Stegostoma tigrinum: one gene and its partner. The protein of the gene in region 1 interacts with the protein of each later gene in a pairwise test. Links are inferred from orthologs where the notes say so. Each region holds a gene or a part of one and is shown in the gene's direction. Other genes may lie near its edges. The genes, in order: klhl41a and nrap.

Evidence for each region.
Region 2: the proteins of klhl41a (region 1) and nrap interact in binary tests that used the Homo sapiens proteins (3 or more experiments, as listed by UniProt). The link is inferred for Stegostoma tigrinum from reciprocal best matches to the Homo sapiens genes KLHL41 and NRAP.

The regions. Positions count from the first base shown.
Region 1 is NC_081360.1:50,273,276-50,281,346, forward strand, and holds the start of klhl41a (kelch-like protein 41a), read left to right. Parts: upstream 1-4,417; 5' UTR 4,418-4,547; coding exon 4,548-5,675; intron 5,676-5,996; coding exon 5,997-6,154; intron 6,155-7,325; coding exon 7,326-7,433; intron 7,434-7,519; coding exon 7,520-7,705; intron 7,706-8,071. UniProt on the Homo sapiens protein: Involved in skeletal muscle development and differentiation. Regulates proliferation and differentiation of myoblasts and plays a role in myofibril assembly by promoting lateral fusion of adjacent thin fibrils into mature, wide myofibrils.
Region 2 is NC_081373.1:23,885,180-23,893,877, forward strand, and holds the start of nrap (nebulin-related-anchoring protein), read left to right. Parts: upstream 1-5,148; 5' UTR 5,149-5,271; coding exon 5,272-5,340; intron 5,341-5,433; coding exon 5,434-5,528; intron 5,529-5,869; coding exon 5,870-5,954; intron 5,955-7,999; coding exon 8,000-8,104; intron 8,105-8,698. UniProt on the Homo sapiens protein: May be involved in anchoring the terminal actin filaments in the myofibril to the membrane and in transmitting tension from the myofibrils to the extracellular matrix.

The DNA.
Region 1 (8,071 bases):
TCAACCTTTAACAACCCAGTTTGGAGATGCCATATTTTAAGGCCAACACCACAATATCTGCTGTCTTTTAAAGCTTAAACTCATTTAGATTTTAGCTAATGCGAAAGAACCCTGATTAATACTAAAAGTGCTCTGCCCAAAGATTTTACTGGAAATGGAGTACTAATAGAAGGAAATCCTTATCTGATTCAGGCAATAATTGGACGGACCAATGCAAGACTTTTTTTTAAAAATCTGATCATTTGAATTATAGATTTGCATTCTGAACATTAACATGAAATTTGAATTTAAAAACAAATACACTGCAATAGAGCTATAATGACATTTCGCTCTCTTACTAAATGATAGTTCAGTAACCTCAACCAAGGGACACTAACTTGCCGCACAGTCCTTTTATCAGTTTGAATTTTGTAGTGGCGGTCATGGTTAAATTGCATGCATTTGCCATCATTACTCCTGTGAAACGTACCGCAACTTTGGGAGCCTGCAAATGCGCAGAATAATGGAGAAATTCAGAAGTTGCTCTGTATTTTTCCAGAGCATGTGCTGTTTACCACCATACTCTATCCCCTCTCCACTTAAGAGTGCATACCCTAAGCAATCAATTAATTGAAGAAACCTTCCATATTCTGTAAAATAAAATCTTAGAAACATTAAATATTGTTGGATGAGATGTGACTGGGCTTTTATGAGAATGCTAAGTTCATAAAAACTGTTTACGTATCCACGCCAATATTGCATCTATCAGTATGTCATTGTTGCTAAAAAAAAGTTCCTTGTATAAAAAGCATGTGTTAATGTCTCAAATATATTTTGGCAGGATTGTCCTTTGAAAAGGTTCATGCACCTTTGCACTGTTCCAGTGATATGGCATCAGGATTTTCTTTTCAATATTAACAACATGGCAATTAAATTGCATTCTTAAAATAGGCACATCAAAGCCACGTGATTCTCTGGAATTAGTAGATAACAAAGCGTATTTTTCCCCATTTTTAAATAAATGAATAATTTCAGGCCTAATGATTTGATAATACAATTTTTGTGTGGCCTTTTGAGATGAAACTGCAAGGGAAGTTTGTTTTTAATTCACTCGTGGGATGTGAATGTTGCTGATTGGCCAGCATTTATTGCCCGGCCCTTGCTGCTCTTGAAAGGAGTGGCTTGCGAGGCCATTTCAGAGGGTGGTTGAAAGTCAACCACATTGTTGTGGATTTGGAGTCCTATGAAGTCCAGGCTGGTTGAGGATGGCAGATTTCCTTCCCTGAAGGACATTAGTGAATCATGTGGGTTTTTCCGACAATTGACAATGATTTCATGGTCATCAGTTGATTCTTAATTGCACATTTTTTATTTTGAATCCAGATTCCACCATCTGCCATGAGAGGATTTGAACCTGGGTCTCCAGAACATTAGCTGAGTTTCTGGATTAATAATCTCACGATAATATCGTGAGGCTGTCACCCCTCCCCCCCACAATATTATATTAAGATCATTTGCATTGTGGACCTTTTGTTAAGAATTTGAATCCTGAAAGATTTTCAAGTGGAAATGTTCTGAGGCAAGAGGAATAACTAGTGTGGAAATTAGACAAAATATCATAACCAAAAATGCTTTTCCTGGCACAGAATTGGAATGGAATAGAGAGATGTTCAATATGAAGCTTCTCGTGTTAATCCTGATTAGGGATATGGAATGTTGCTATTGATATGAAAAGTTGGAAATACTTTATTTTCCTGAGCACTGATGTACCCTCTGTTGAGAAGCAAAAAACAACATATAAATTAAAATTTCAGATTATAGGTGGTATTTGTAAGTGTCAGTCTTCCTCCATGAATTACCTCCTGCGCACTTAAGATTTCTAAATCCACCCTATCCTAATAAATGCCACTGGTTTATTTACATCTTATGTATCTGCACACTTTTTGTATTTATTAATTTCATATCTGCTGAGACATACGTCAGGCATTTTTTTAATATGACTATGATGTGATTTATCACAACCAGGTTATCTTTAGGTGTTCAATTATCAAATGTAGCATCGTTCAATAATAGTGAGAAAAAACAGTATTTTTTAGTTCAATTCCTTAGTAGCAAGACGCCCTAAGACACCTTAGAGTTCGATTTTCAAACAGAATTTGTTGTTTGAGGTCACTGGGGCACCTTAAGAGATATTAGGATAGATAAAAGAGGTAGGTGATAAACGCCTTGAGGGAATAAAGAGGTTTAAAATTGGCGGAGGTGGAATCTCAAAAGCATGCCGACGATGCAATTGCAGGTACGGTAAATAGTGGAGCAAAGAAAATTGCTAAGTGTAGAGTCAAAATCAGAGGAATGCAGATATCCAAGGTACTTATGCAGTTGAAGCTGCTGTTCCTCTCACTCGCTGGTCACGTCCAGAGCGCTCGTTCGTAGCAAGGATCCACGAAAAAGAACGGGTGAATAGGATTTTCCATGATAAAGATCAAAGAGGAAGTGAGGCGGATCAGAGAGTGGCAGAGGCCAACAGTCTGGTGGGTTGGAGTGAGAGGGCCGGCTAAGGGAGCAGCAGAACGTGAGTGGGATGTTTAGCAAGTCTGAGGTTCATGAAGCAAGACTGGTGATGAGCTGGAAGTAAATAGAATGTGCCACATTTCTTTTACCAACGCAGGATCGTAGTAATGAAAAATATTTTAACAAAAGGGGTATAATTTTTTTTAATGATTGTGAAGGTCCTAAGAAATTAGCTGCAACTTTTACTTTGGCTTTAACGAGAAAGTCTGATTCACTTGTATTAGTTTCATGTAAAAATTGCACGTTTCAAGAATACAACGATAATGTTACGTGAAAAATTTCTGCATTTTGCTGACTATAACCCAAACTCCTGTCACGCAATAAACGAGAGTAGCAAAAGCTGTCTTGACAACATGACAGATCTGATACATTAGATGAAGAGTCGGTTGGAAGAGTGTACAGAAGAACAAGACTAGGCTGAACCATTAATGGAAGGGGAATCATTGATGGTCAATGACTTGGAAAAGAAAATTAATCTTTGAAGCTCATTGTTCAGTACAGAGTACAGCCGCATGTCTGGCGGCATCCGTGGAGAGAGGAACGGTTTAGAGACCAATTCCGAACTCGATTCCGAAGAAGTCATCGGACCTGAAACGTTAAGTCTGATTCACTTTTCACAGATGCTACCAGACCTGCTGAGTTTCTCCAGCATCTGCAGTATTTTCCTATGATATGGAAGATCCAAAGACGACATATTCCATTTGAACTACTGAGTTAATAGCACTTAATAAATTATTCATTTCCATTATTAACAATCTTCTAACTATACCCTTGACCACCAAATTATAAAATATTTACTCTCATAACAGTTATATCATACAGTTGCTAAATTTTAAGGATACTAAGATAATGGTATGCGGGGGAAATGAGTCACATTGAGACAAATGTTCAGTTTATGAATAAGGTTGATCAAATGTTAAATCTAAAAACGGCCGTGAGCCAAAATGATGACCACCTGTTCAGCAGTTGACCTTGTTTGTAAAAGACTCCACTGTGAAAGTTACTTGAGGAAAAACAGGGTAATCATAAGCACAGTTTTCGAGCAATTAATCACGTCTCTTAGGTGGGTTTGGGATTTATAAAAGTTTAAAATATTCCCAAGGTGAGTTCTTAGTTCCAAAATAGGTTGTGGGAAATGATTTTGTTTCCATTTCATGTAAATTCGTCAATTACCTTTTGTTTTTAAGAAATATTTGTGAAGTATAGATATATTTGACAAAGAAATCCATTCTACCCATAATAAAAACGAAATCATACCCTTCAAATGTGCAAATAATATGAAGACGTGTGATTTAAAATGGCAGTATGAGAGATTATATACTGTTGTACTAACTTGTAATGCAGTCATAATTTGACTATAACATTGTGCCATTAAATTTATTTTGAAAATTTTGACATCGATCCTTGGAATTCTTAAAAATAGAATCAGAACCCAAAAAAAACACGTGATTAAATGGTGGAAGCTGAATGAGTGAGTTGCGATTTGAAGAATCTCTTTGAGAATTTAGTGGAAGGGTTGATTCCGTAATTTGTGATATTCATAGCTGTGAGACACACTAGCCATGACGCTGTCTCAATATGATAAAAATAACTAAATGTAATTTCCTTAGTAATCGCTCCCGATAGTGATTGCCTATCCCGTTTAACTCCTAAGCTGGTCACGGTTGTTTCATAAAAATAAAATCCGAAAGAACTGTGGATGCTGTAAATCAGGAACAAAAACTAAGTTGCCGTTCTGAGGAAGGGTCACCCGACCCAAAACGTTAATTTTTTTTTCCTTCACAGTTGTTTCTTTCCGTCTGCAGCAGCTGCCAAATTGCGGTCCACATTCCACACTGGTTAACCTGGATTCCAGCATGTACGGTGTCTCTATATTTAGCCTGTGGAGTTAAATTACAAACTCTTCAAGTGCGGCAAGCCACTGCGTTCTGCCTTTTCAGGCGAACCCGAGTAAAGTGAACGCTACCCGCTCCCTCTGCCTTCGCAGTTTCCTCACCATGGACCCTCGGAAAGAATCAAGGGAAGAATCTCGGCTGTACCAAACCACGCTGCTGCAGGACGGACTGAAAAATTTACTGGATGAAAACAAATTTGTGGATTGTTCCCTGAAGGTGGGAAATAAATTATTTCCCTGCCACCGACTAATCCTGGCAGCTTGCAGCCCTTACTTCCGTGAGTATTTCTTTTCAGATGTAAGTGAGGAAAAGAAACGTGAGGTGGTTTTGGAAGATGTCGATGAAAGTGTCGTGGATATGATCTTGAAGTATCTGTATTCCTCTGAGATAGAACTGACCGATGAGAACGTGCAAAATATTTTTGCTGCGTCCAGCCGCTTTCAGATCCCCTCTGTTTTCACACTCTGTGTCACCTATCTTCAAGAAAAGTTATCTACTAGCAACTGTTTGGCGATATTCAGGCTAGGACTCCTTCTGGACTGTCCCCGGCTTGCTGTTGCTGCCCGTGAATATGCGTCCGCTCGTTTTGAACAAATCTGTAATGATGAAGATTTTATGCAACTGGCTTCTCATGAGCTTATCAGCATCATTGCGAATGACGCTTTAAACGTGGTGAAAGAAGAAACTGTATTTGAAGCTGTAGTAAGATGGGTCCGGAAGGACAAAGAGACCAGGGTCAAAAGTTTAGGAGAAATCTTTGATTGCATTCGTTTTCGTCTCATGACTGAGAAATATATCAAAGACCAGGTCGAAAAAAATGACATTATTAAGTCTAATCCAGATCTATTGAAGAAGGTGCAGGTGATTAAAGATGCTTTTGGAGGAAAACTTCCCAAGCCTGAGGCAGGTAGTAACAAGAGCGCAAAGAAAGGAGAAGGCGGTGAAGATCTAGCTAACGGCGATGTAGGAGACGAAGATCTGCTCCCTGGTTTTCTGAATGACATTCCCAGGCATGGCATGTTCGTCAAGGAAATGATCATGTTAATTAATGACACAGTGGCGGTGGCATATGATCCAAACCTAAATCAATGCTTTCTGGTTGCAGTGGGTGATCAGATCCCCAAAAACCATGTTAGTTTGGTTACAAAGGGAAACCAAATTTTTGTTGTCGGTGGGTTGTACGTGGATGAAGAAGTTAAAGAACAGCCCTACCACTGCTATTTCTATCAGGTACTCGTAGATCTATCGAACTGTGAAATCATATAATATGTTCAGCTTTGTTTCAGAAAACGTGATTGTAATTGTTAATTTAGTTCACCAATTTTCAAAATCATTCCAAGTTTACTTATTTAAAAAATGTAAGCAACTACTTCCATTTCAATGTAGTCTCTTCCCTGCTGTTTAAAAATAGATATTGTGCAAAATATGATAATTTTATGAATTGCGTGCTCCACCTCAAATTCCTATCAAATCTCATCGGATTTCTGAATACGTTTGATATAAATATATCGAGAATCGGTCACAATTAAACTGGCTTTTCCGACGCTTTAGTTTGACAGTATCGCTAGTGAATGGAATGGCTTGCCACCGCTGCCTTCAGCTAGATGCCTCTTCGGTCTGGGAGAAACAGAAAACTTTCTTTATGTGATTGGTGGCAAGGATCTTCCAAACGAGCAGTCATTGGATTCAGTATTTTGCTACGATATGAAGTAAGTAAATCCAGATTATTTGCATGTTAACAAAATGTTATTTTTAAATTATTTTGTAGCAACTTCTAACAAAATGCTGCTCCAAACCAGTATAGTTAATCAGAACCATGCTTTCACAGAAATATTGTACAGTATACCACTCAGTGCCATTACAGTTATAATTTAATACCAACAGTGAGCATATCAAATTCAGTCAGAATACAAGGACTGTCAATGAGATTATAGGTCCCGTCTAAAATAGTTTACCCTCCATTAGCTCATTTAAATAGACCTACCGTCATATTGGTTGAGTCAGTTCTGGGAACAGACTGCAATGGTAACTTGTTGCAAGGATAGTAGGAACTGCCGATGCTGGAGAATCTGAGATAACAAGATGTAGAGCTGGATGAACACAGCAGGCCAAGCAGCATCGCAGCAGGAAAGCTAACGTTTCGGGTCGAGACCCTAAGGTCTCCGCTTTCCTGCTCCTCTGATGCTGCTTGGCCTGCTGCGTTCATCCAGCTCTACACCGTGTTATCTCAGTATTGTAACTTGTATGTCATGTGACATTCACAAAGCATGATTAGAATCAGAATAGGAAAATTCGTCAGATAATGATGACCCAATATCATCTCTGTTGTTCAGTTTTTGAACAAGACACTTAGATCCCCTGTGTCCAATGTTCATTGTTTTATTAGACTTGCACATTAGAGTTTAGCTTTGAGTTCAGGTGAGTTTTCAACGAATGTAGTGTCGAAAGATTTCACGTTATTTAATTTCAATTCCAATATTGGGAAAGCCAGAGACAAGTTGCTCCAAGTTTTCATTTTCCACCACTCAGGACAATTGTATGAATGCTTCCTCTCCACAAATGCTGCAAGAACCTGCTGTGCATTTCCAAAAAAAAATCTGATTTTATGTATACACGTTGCTCAATTGTATGCAGAATGTCTTTTCAATTGACAGCAATATTATTGTCAGTGATAAATGACACTTGTACGGCCCTTGTATTTATGGCACTGTGAAATGGCTTGTTTAGGCTATTTTAAAACTTAAAGGTGTCGTTCCACTATTATTTGAGGCAATCACCTTCTGCAATTTTCAGCATATTCATGAACAAAAACGTAATTTTTAAAACAGGTAAACATTGAAGAATGATGAATACAATTTAAAAAAATGCATTTTTTTTCAGCAAACTAAAATGGAATGAATCCAAAGCATTCCCGTTTAAGATTTATGGCCACTCTGTGGTTTCACATAATGGATTAATCTATGTTATTGGCGGGAAGACTGATGACGCGTAAGTAATTCATACATTTCCTATATTATGCATTAGTTCTAGACTGTCATGACTGATTTACTCAATCATTTTTAATTTAACCACAGCAAATGCATCAACAAATTGTTTGTCTACAATCCCAAAAAATCTGAGTGGAGGGAACTGCGAGCTATGAAGACAGCACGTGCCATGTTTGGAGCTGCTCTCCATCAAAACAGAATCTGGGTTGTTGGAGGAGTCACTGATGACGGCCTGGCAGCTGCAGTTGAAGCATATGACATAATGAATAATAAGTGAGTATAATCAAACAGAATATCAAACATACTGGAAATGTGATTTTGTTAACATTTAAGAAAGTTAAGTTGCTGGAATCTGCAATTATGAGTGAAAGACGAGAAGCACAGTATTAAATTGATAAAAAAAAAATTGTTGATGTCCATATATTTCTTCACATAGAGTGATCAATACATCAGTTGATTCCCAGGAAGAGTAGTGGAGGCAAAGTAATTGTACAATATTTTCAGAAATATTTGGATGCTGCAATGGTGGGACTGTAGGATCATTCCACAGAGGTTGTTAACTTCATTATGAATTTTTGTACCAGAGACTAGGATTATGACATAGCACTGAGAAAGATTTTCCATTTGTTGAGGTCAAAT
Region 2 (8,698 bases), on another chromosome or scaffold:
TAAACTGATGGCCTTCATTGTTTGAGTGTACTGATATTAAGGAGAATTTGTCGTGTCGTTTTGCTGCTAGCTGATGTTCAGGAATTCTGATGGCTGGCTAGCTTCCTTCCTATCTGTTCGATGTAATGTTTGTGGGCAGTCGTTGCATGGTATTTTGTAAAACAACATTGGTTCTGCATGTTGTCAGAATGATGTCTTTAATCCTCGTAGTGTTTGCCTGAGAGTGGCTGTGGGCTTGTGGGTTATCATGATTCTGAGAGGTCTTAGGAGTCTTGTTGTCGGTTCTGATATTTTCCTGATGTAGGGCAGTGTGGCCAGTGTGTTAGGGCGTTCTGTGCACTCCTGTTGTTGTCTATTTAGTAGGCATCTGCAGATGAAGTTGGAGTGATATCTGACCATATCTGTAGGTGCTCTTCCTCTTTGCTGCTCAGTTCTGAAGTGTTGCAGTGTGTCGTGACCTGTTTAAGTAGTGTCCTAACACAGCTTTATTTGTGGTAGTTGGGGTGGTTGCTATGGAGGTTGAGGATTTGATCAGTATGGGTTGCCTTTCTGTGTATCGAGGTTTGGAATTCCCCATTGGTCATGCGCTCAACTTTGACGAACAGAAGTGGAAGTTGATTGTTGTTTTCTTGTTCCCTTGTGAATTTAATCCCTGTGAATACCTGTTGATGAGGTGATGGTTCTCTTCTAACTTGTTGTGTTTAATAATGACAAATGTGTCATCTACGTACTGGATTCACAGTTTAGGTTGAATGTGGGGGAGGATTGTGTTTTCTAATCTTTGCATGACTGCTTCTGCAGTGAGTGCAGAGATGGGTGACCCCATTGGTGTAATGCTGATCTGGTTGTGTACTTGCTCATTAAAGACGAAGTGTGTGGTGAGGCATGGATCTAATAGTTTGAGGGTATGTTGCCCTTGCTGATGGAACTGCTGGTCTGCGTTCCTGCTTCCAGTGATAATGTGGCCAGTATTTCTTTGGCTAGTGGGATGTTGATTGATGTGAATAAAGCTGTGACATCAAAGGATACCGCATTCTTGTTGCTGATTTTTGTGTTCTTGAGGGAATTCTTGGATTGAATGGATAGAATAGGATGATCCAACATCGGCTAGGTGTTTCAGTGTCTGCTGTAGGTCCCTGGCCGGTTTGTGTGAAGATGTGTCTGATACGGAAACAATGGGTCTGTGGGGGATCTGGTTGGTGTACTTTAGGACGCCCATAGAAGTGGGGGAGTATTTGTGCCTTCTGGTTTCATTCTCATGTGGTCTGTCTTAGTTATCTGTCCTGCATCCTCTCGTCTCCTCTGTCTGGGTGATCCTATTAACGAGCTGCAGTGTTGGGTCTATTGTCACCTGTTGGTAAGTGGTTGCATCTGTGAGCAACAATTGTGCTTTCTTAACATCGTCTTTGCTAAAACTTTTATCTATTTACAAGTTTCCAAAATGTGCATTCACCCTCAAAATATAAGTAATAACAGATGGTTCATCTGCATTGCCATTCACAAAATTGATGCTTGAAAGTCAGTTGCTCACATCTTAAGCACTGAAGTGATGTTGCAGAATCACTGATGTCATTCAGTCTCTGCTGGTCTCATACTGACCTCTCACCAAGAAATGTGCATCTACAATTATACTAATTAGAATCCTTTGAAAGCACATTGGAAAAAAACTGAATCTTTAATAACAACATTAGAATGACCACCATTCACCATATTATAATTTTCCAACGCTGATCTTTAAAGTCCTATCCTGCAGATTCTGTCGAAACATACACGTTCATGCCAAGCAATCAGGTAAACTTGATTTGTGTGTATCTTGTCATCTTCCTAATTATTCAATCATTTTAAAAGTACAGCAATGTTAGTTTAACTATATACATATAAAAATAGATGGAAGGCAATGAAATGTAAGGCAGTAACTTACTAAGGAGTTTGGATGACATCAGACAATGAAATCAAAGCCATGGACATCAGCTGAGTTCCATAATTAGATCACAGAGTTTAAATTACCATCCGCTATTTCGAATTAAAAATAGCGTATTTACTGGTGAATGGGCTCTTGTGGTACATTGTAGTGCCCCTACCTCTGGACCAGGAGACCCTGGATTCAAGTACTACCTACTCCAGGTCTTAACAGGTTGATGAGATAATACAGCTGGTGATTTTATTCAATTTATAATTCTAAACATTCTCAGATTTATCATACTTAACACTTTAATTCAAGATTTATTTTAGCCTCTGTGATAAGTGGTGAAGTTAAAATGTATTCAACTTCTAAAATCATTCCTTTTAGTTCTTTGAGAAAGAATTTAAGAATGACATATGTGCAGCACTATAGACCGCTGGTGAGTAAAGAGTTATACTGATGCCACAAAATATGAACATAGATCTTGAATAGATTATTGATGTCATTTGTGTTTTAAAGTGAAATAGCAGCTTTATTAATCACTTAGGAACATATAGAATCAGGATGAGTCTCTTCTGCCTTTGAGACTGTTTGTTTCAGCATTTAATTAAGGTATGGCTGATCAGCAGGGCAACTCTGATCTTTAGCACCTTTAGGTGATGAAAAAAGATCTCAGACTTAAAATTAATTAAGTCACCAGCATAATTTTTATTTGGAGGAAAATACTCCAAACATGTTTGAATTTACGATATACACTCACTTTATTTTTAAAGACATGTACACAAACAACAATGTATGATACAGTTTGTGTGGCTTTAAACACCCTTGATGTGTAAAAGTATATTTTATTTTCAGTTTTGGCACTAATTGTTTGACTATTCTGCCTTGACATATACTCTCCAATCAGCAAAATGATTTTTCCTTATCTGTTCTGTCGGTTCCCCTTCAGAATTTCAAAATGTAGAACAAACCATCCTTTGACCTTTTTGGTTCCAAGGGATGTTGTTATGTTGTAATTTACTGCTTGGAGCCCAGGTATCATTTTGGTCAATTTCCTTCCAATTCACTATATACTTTTTAAGATGTAATACCCAGAACAGTTCTTTTCCTCAAGATGTGGTCTAATCACGGCTTTGTAAAGCTGAAACATGACTTCTGCCCTGTTTTATCATTTAGATACAAAGATCAATATTCATTAGCCTTTTTGTTTATAGTCTGGCACCTGTCAAGGTATTTTAATGATCTATTTACCCTAGACACCCAAGTTTCTATGAACATCCATTATTTTTAATTTCTCACCATTTAGAAAGGAAGATGTTGTACAACTCTTACATTCAAATCCATTTAAATCCATTTGCCACAGTTTCTCTCATTCACTTAACTCTCAATACATTTTTATAGTGCCATCCATCCCTATGCCAACAGTAAATCTGGATATGTGACTTTCTGTTCCATCGCCTAAGTATTAACATGGGAGAATCATGGCATCATATAGTCCAGAAAAGGCCCTTTGGCCCATCAAATCTGTACTGCCAAAAACATACTACCAACTACACTAGTCTCACTTTCCTGTAATAGGCCCATAGCCTTGAATGTTATGGAAATCTTGAACATACAAAGCAGTTATCAGGTTAAGTTTAAGGGCAGTGATGAAATCACTGTAGAATATAAATGGAAAGTTTTTTAAGAACTGAATACTGTCAGGGATTGAGTTGTTGGGACCAGTTTTATTTCTTTTCTCAGCCCTTTGCCTTTACTCAGAGATAGTAAGAACTGCTGACGCTGGAGTCAGTGTGGATAACGCAGTGTGGAGCTGGATGGGCACAGCAGGCCAGGCAGCATCAGAGGAGCAGGAAAACTGACGTTTTGCTTCAGGACCCTCCTTTAGCAGGCCAGGCCGCATCAGAGGAGAGGAAAGCTGACGTTTCGGGTCGGGATCCTTTTTCAGAAAATGAGGGAGGGTCCTGACCCGAAACGTCAGTTTTCCTGTTCCTCTGATGCTGCCTGGCCTGCTGTGTTCCTCCACCTCCACACTGTGTTATCTTTGCCTTTACTGATGTTTTGAGGCTGATTTTGTGGAGATGACATTCCAGGCAGATGTGTGGTGGTGTTCATAACCTTGTCAGTAACAACATCAATGCAGGATTGTACATTTGTGAAAACATCCACTTGATAACCAAATGTATAGCTGTATAAAGGAATCGGTTTATGATGTACACTCACTTTATTTTTAAAGATGTGTATGACAACAACAATGTGTAATACATAAGACCATAAGACCATAAAACATAGGAGTGGAAGTAAGGCCATTCAGCCCATAGAATCCACCCCGCCATTTAATCATGGCTGATGGGCATTTCAACTCCACTTCCCTGCACTCTCCCCCCAGCCCTTAATTCCTTGTGAGATCAAGAATTTATCAGTCTCCGCCCTAAAGACATTTAACGTCCTGGCCTTCTTTGCGTTCCGTGGCAATGAATTCCACAAGCCCACCACTCTCTGGCTGAAGAAATGTCTCCCCATTTCCGATTTAAATCGACCCCCCCTAATTCTAAGGCTGTGCCCACGTGTCCTAGTCCCCCCTTAACGGAAACAACTTCCCAGCGTCCACCCTTTCTAAGCCATACAATATCTTGTAAGTTTCTATTAGATCTCCCCTCAACCTTCTAAACTCTAATGAATACAATCCCAGGATCCTTAGCTGTTCATCGTAACAGTTTGTGTTGCTTTAAACAGCAAAAAATATTTTGGACTGCCAACAGAAAATTCACAGTTACAGACACTGTGCTGCAAGGAAAATCCGATATTCTGAAGAAGGACACTAGACTGGAATCGTTAACTCTTTTCTACCCATGAATGCCGCCAGACCAGCTGAGTTTCTCCAGCAATTTCTGTTTTTGTTTCGGATTCCCAGCATCCTCAGTTCGTTCTTTTATTTTGTGCTGCAAAGTGTTGATTTGCTTTTGGAAAGTTGATGATCTAGATTGATAAAATGTTGCCAGTCCCCTTTTACCTTATAGCTGACATCAATACATATTTAGTGGAATATTGCTATTTTGGGACTGAGGCATTAAACACCAGTCACCCTCCAAACTTAAACCTGATACAAGCTTTGTGATTGACAGCCCTGGTAACCAAAGTCGACTGGAGTTGTGGAGTTCAGAGCTTAGAAATAGGTGTCTGGATCCAATGGCCAAGGAGAGGAGGCGGGACTTGATTAATCCTGAAATGAAGGGGCTGACTGCTGGTGGCAGGTTCTAGTCCAGGCGAGATCACAAGTAGCACAGCTCAGAAACAGACCACGGAGAAGGAAATAAAAAGGAAACGTATCGCGGCTTGCTTTTGAATAACAAAAATACTGTTTGAAAATGAATAAACCGTGCGCTCGCTGTGGTTTTGGCGTCTATCCTGCCGAGAAAATAGTCTGCATAGACCAGGTGAGTGATGCTGAAATTTCCTTGAATGTCAGATATGTGTTTAAAATTGAAAGTTTGGCCCGGTTAATAAAGTGTTTATTTTGTTACCTACAGACCTGGCATAAGTCCTGTTTCCACTGTGAGGTCTGCAAAATGATCTTAACGGTCAACAATTTTATCAGTCACCAGAAGAAACCATACTGTCAGGCGTGAGTCATTTTAAAAGTTAATGAAAACTTAGTTGGACCAATCGTACTAAAGGGCTTTTATGACTCAATATTAATTTACACTTAAATATATTCAAATGGAACAATGAAAAATGCAAGGTTATTGAATATTTCTTCTGTTTCTACAGTGAACACTGTAAGTGTCACTGGTCTGATTTTAGATGTAGAGATTTATACGACAACACTTGTAAAAATTATTCATAGTAGGAGCACTCTGTATGTTTGAAGATATCTGTCTGCAGCAACCTGAGTGAAATTAGTAGAAAATTCATTTGATTTTTTTTTGATTGTAAATTGGTGGCAATGTTTACTTTAATTCGCAGGCACAATCCTAAAGTCAACAAATTTACCAGCGTACTAGATACACCCCTGAACCTGAATGTGAAAAAACAAAGCGAGTCCAGTGAGGTGGGTAACTGGCACTAAAAATGGGAGCAGTACATATTATTCTCATAATACATCATCCAAGACCACCGGGCATAACTAAAAGACTGAATAGCCTGTCCCTAAGTACAACATGTTTTTCTTTCACTTCAATTCAGTTGATAAAGCAGTTGTTTAACCATAACTAATGATTAAATGACCTAGATCTCATATGGTTCACATGTTTTGCAGAGTGTTTGATATATTTTCTTTTAATCTTGGTGACAACTAGGCTTTGGAATGAAGCCTGTTACAGCAACATCTATTTCTGGACAGCAACTGTGACACCTCGCTGCTTGTGCTTCAACTTCATGTGGAGGTTAAAATTACAGTCCTCTAAATGCTGGCCGTCCATTTCCCCTGCACTGCACCATATTCTGTTGCTTTTAATCACGAGTGACAAATTGGTCCAAAGTTATTGAACACAACTTCCGCAACATTTTAGATTAAACTGACCCTTAATAAGCTAGTCTTGAAGATATACAAACTGACTTTTTAAGTCTTAACTTGTCATGTCAGGCACATGGATGGATGTTTGTACTGTTAATGTTATGTTTGCAAGACAGAGATAGTTACTCCCTTTACTTCGCCATCATCAAATTTATCAAGTTATTTTTCTTCTGAAATCCCAACATTTTATTTTGATTTTAGTCTTGCCTTGTTGAATTCAATATTTTGGTAGAATTTGTACTTCAGTAGCATGGAGAATTTGTGCTTTTAGTTTATATAAGGATTCCACAGGCATAAACCATTCTCCTATTGTGTTCCTAAATTTCCAGGTTTTATTCATGATAACTTTTAAAAACAAAAGAAAAATCAAACCTGTTATTCTATTCAACATACATTCTGATTGATACCAGTAACTGAACATGTTTTGCTTGTTAACTTGGTTGGCTGGATGGCCAGTGAATGGTATATAATGTAGGTTCAACTTCACTTGCAACTGAGATCATTCTTAGGGCTTGCCTTACCCATTGGCATCTAGCATGAACCACGATTTAGAAACCCTTGGACAATGAGGATACTGCATAGAAAGAGAAAGAAAAGTGTGCATATTATGATAGCTGCACATATTGTGCAATTACAAAGAAACTTAAACACTACAGTTTAAACTATGCGATAACACAGCGTGGAGCTGGAGGAACACAGCAGGTCAGGCAGTATCAGAGGAGCAGGAAAGTTGATGTTTTGGGTTGGAACCCTTTGTTGTTTTTTTTCTGAAGAGGGGAACCGACCCGAAACATTAACTTTCCTGTTGCTCTGATGCTGCCTGACCTGCTGTGTTCTTCCAACTTCACACTGTCATCTCTGACTCCGGCATCGGCAGTTCTTATTATCTCACACTTTAAACTGTTCTTTATTTAGCCAATCTGCAGCTTCTTGTTGCTTTCGTGAGTCTGGAGTGAACTTTCATACTTAATCTCTTGGGACACCATGATGTACTTATTGTGATGATAATAAGGACAAGATGAAGCTGTGTTGAATGCCTGTCACCCTGTAAAGCTGTAGGAGCGAATTACTGCAGATGCTGGAGTCAGTACTGCAAACAAAAGATGCTGGAGACCACACTGGGCCATGGAGAGAAAGCAAGCTAATGTTTCAAATCTAGATAACTCTTCATCTTCGGCTCCGATGAAGAGTCATCTAGACTCAAAATGTGAGTGTTCTTTCTCTCCATGGATGCTGCCTGACCTACTGTGATCTTCAGCACTTTTTGCTTTCAGCCCTGTAATGCTGGTTCACCTTAACGCATGCAACTTGATTCCTGTATTACTTGAGGAGGGGACCCAATCTATGAGAAGTTGACGAGAAGCTTTTGATTGTTGTTGATGTGAAAATATCGAACTTTGAAGAGGCTGACCAGGAAAAGAAAAACAATTAAGAAACATTCAGTAAAAAGGTGGGAAAGATAAAGGAAAAAAGTAACAAATTCACAAGCTGCATTACCCATGGCTTAAATCTTCCAAGTGCTGATACAGTCGGTTTTAAAATCCAGTATCATAAAATGTCCACTGAACTTTTGTACTTAGATTAAGTATCGCGAGGAAGCTGAAAAATTCAAATCAGTTTTTCATTGGGATATAAAGTCGAAGCAGCTGGAGCATGCCTGTAAGGCTGGGAGACTTGCAAGTAAGGTAAGCAGCCTGAAGGTATTGTAAAACTTAAGTGTCATATGCAACAAAATCAATATTTAATTATATTTTTCCCCAAGAATCTGTGACTATTCTGTTGGACTCCTGCCATAATGTTGATAGGAGTTCATGAGAATGGTCATTAGCTAATTTTCAGGATAGTCTTGCAGGGCTGAGTCTTGAAACATCCTTTTCAAGCCATCAGAATAAGAGGTTGTGTGAGTTAGGGACAAGGGCATCAAATTCCCACATTACAAGCCCTCTTTCATTGGCAATAATCCTATGCTTGGTGCATCTGTGCCTGATGAGGCCAGGAAGACTTGATGTGAGACCATTGTGTGGATGGGTGGGTTTGCTGAAGGCTTCCAAAATTGTTGGTCCACCACATTATTCAACAAACCTTGGCAAAGTCAGCTACAGAGATATGGGCAGCTACAGCCTAACATATTGTCAGATTATTCAAGTATTCAATATTGCAAGTAAAAATTATGAAGTATGTAAAGTGGGCTATTGACTTGTGATCTCCATAATTCTGCAATTAGTATTTTGATGTTTTACCAAAAATGGCAGTGGTTTAGTTGAGCTCTTCCTATCGCT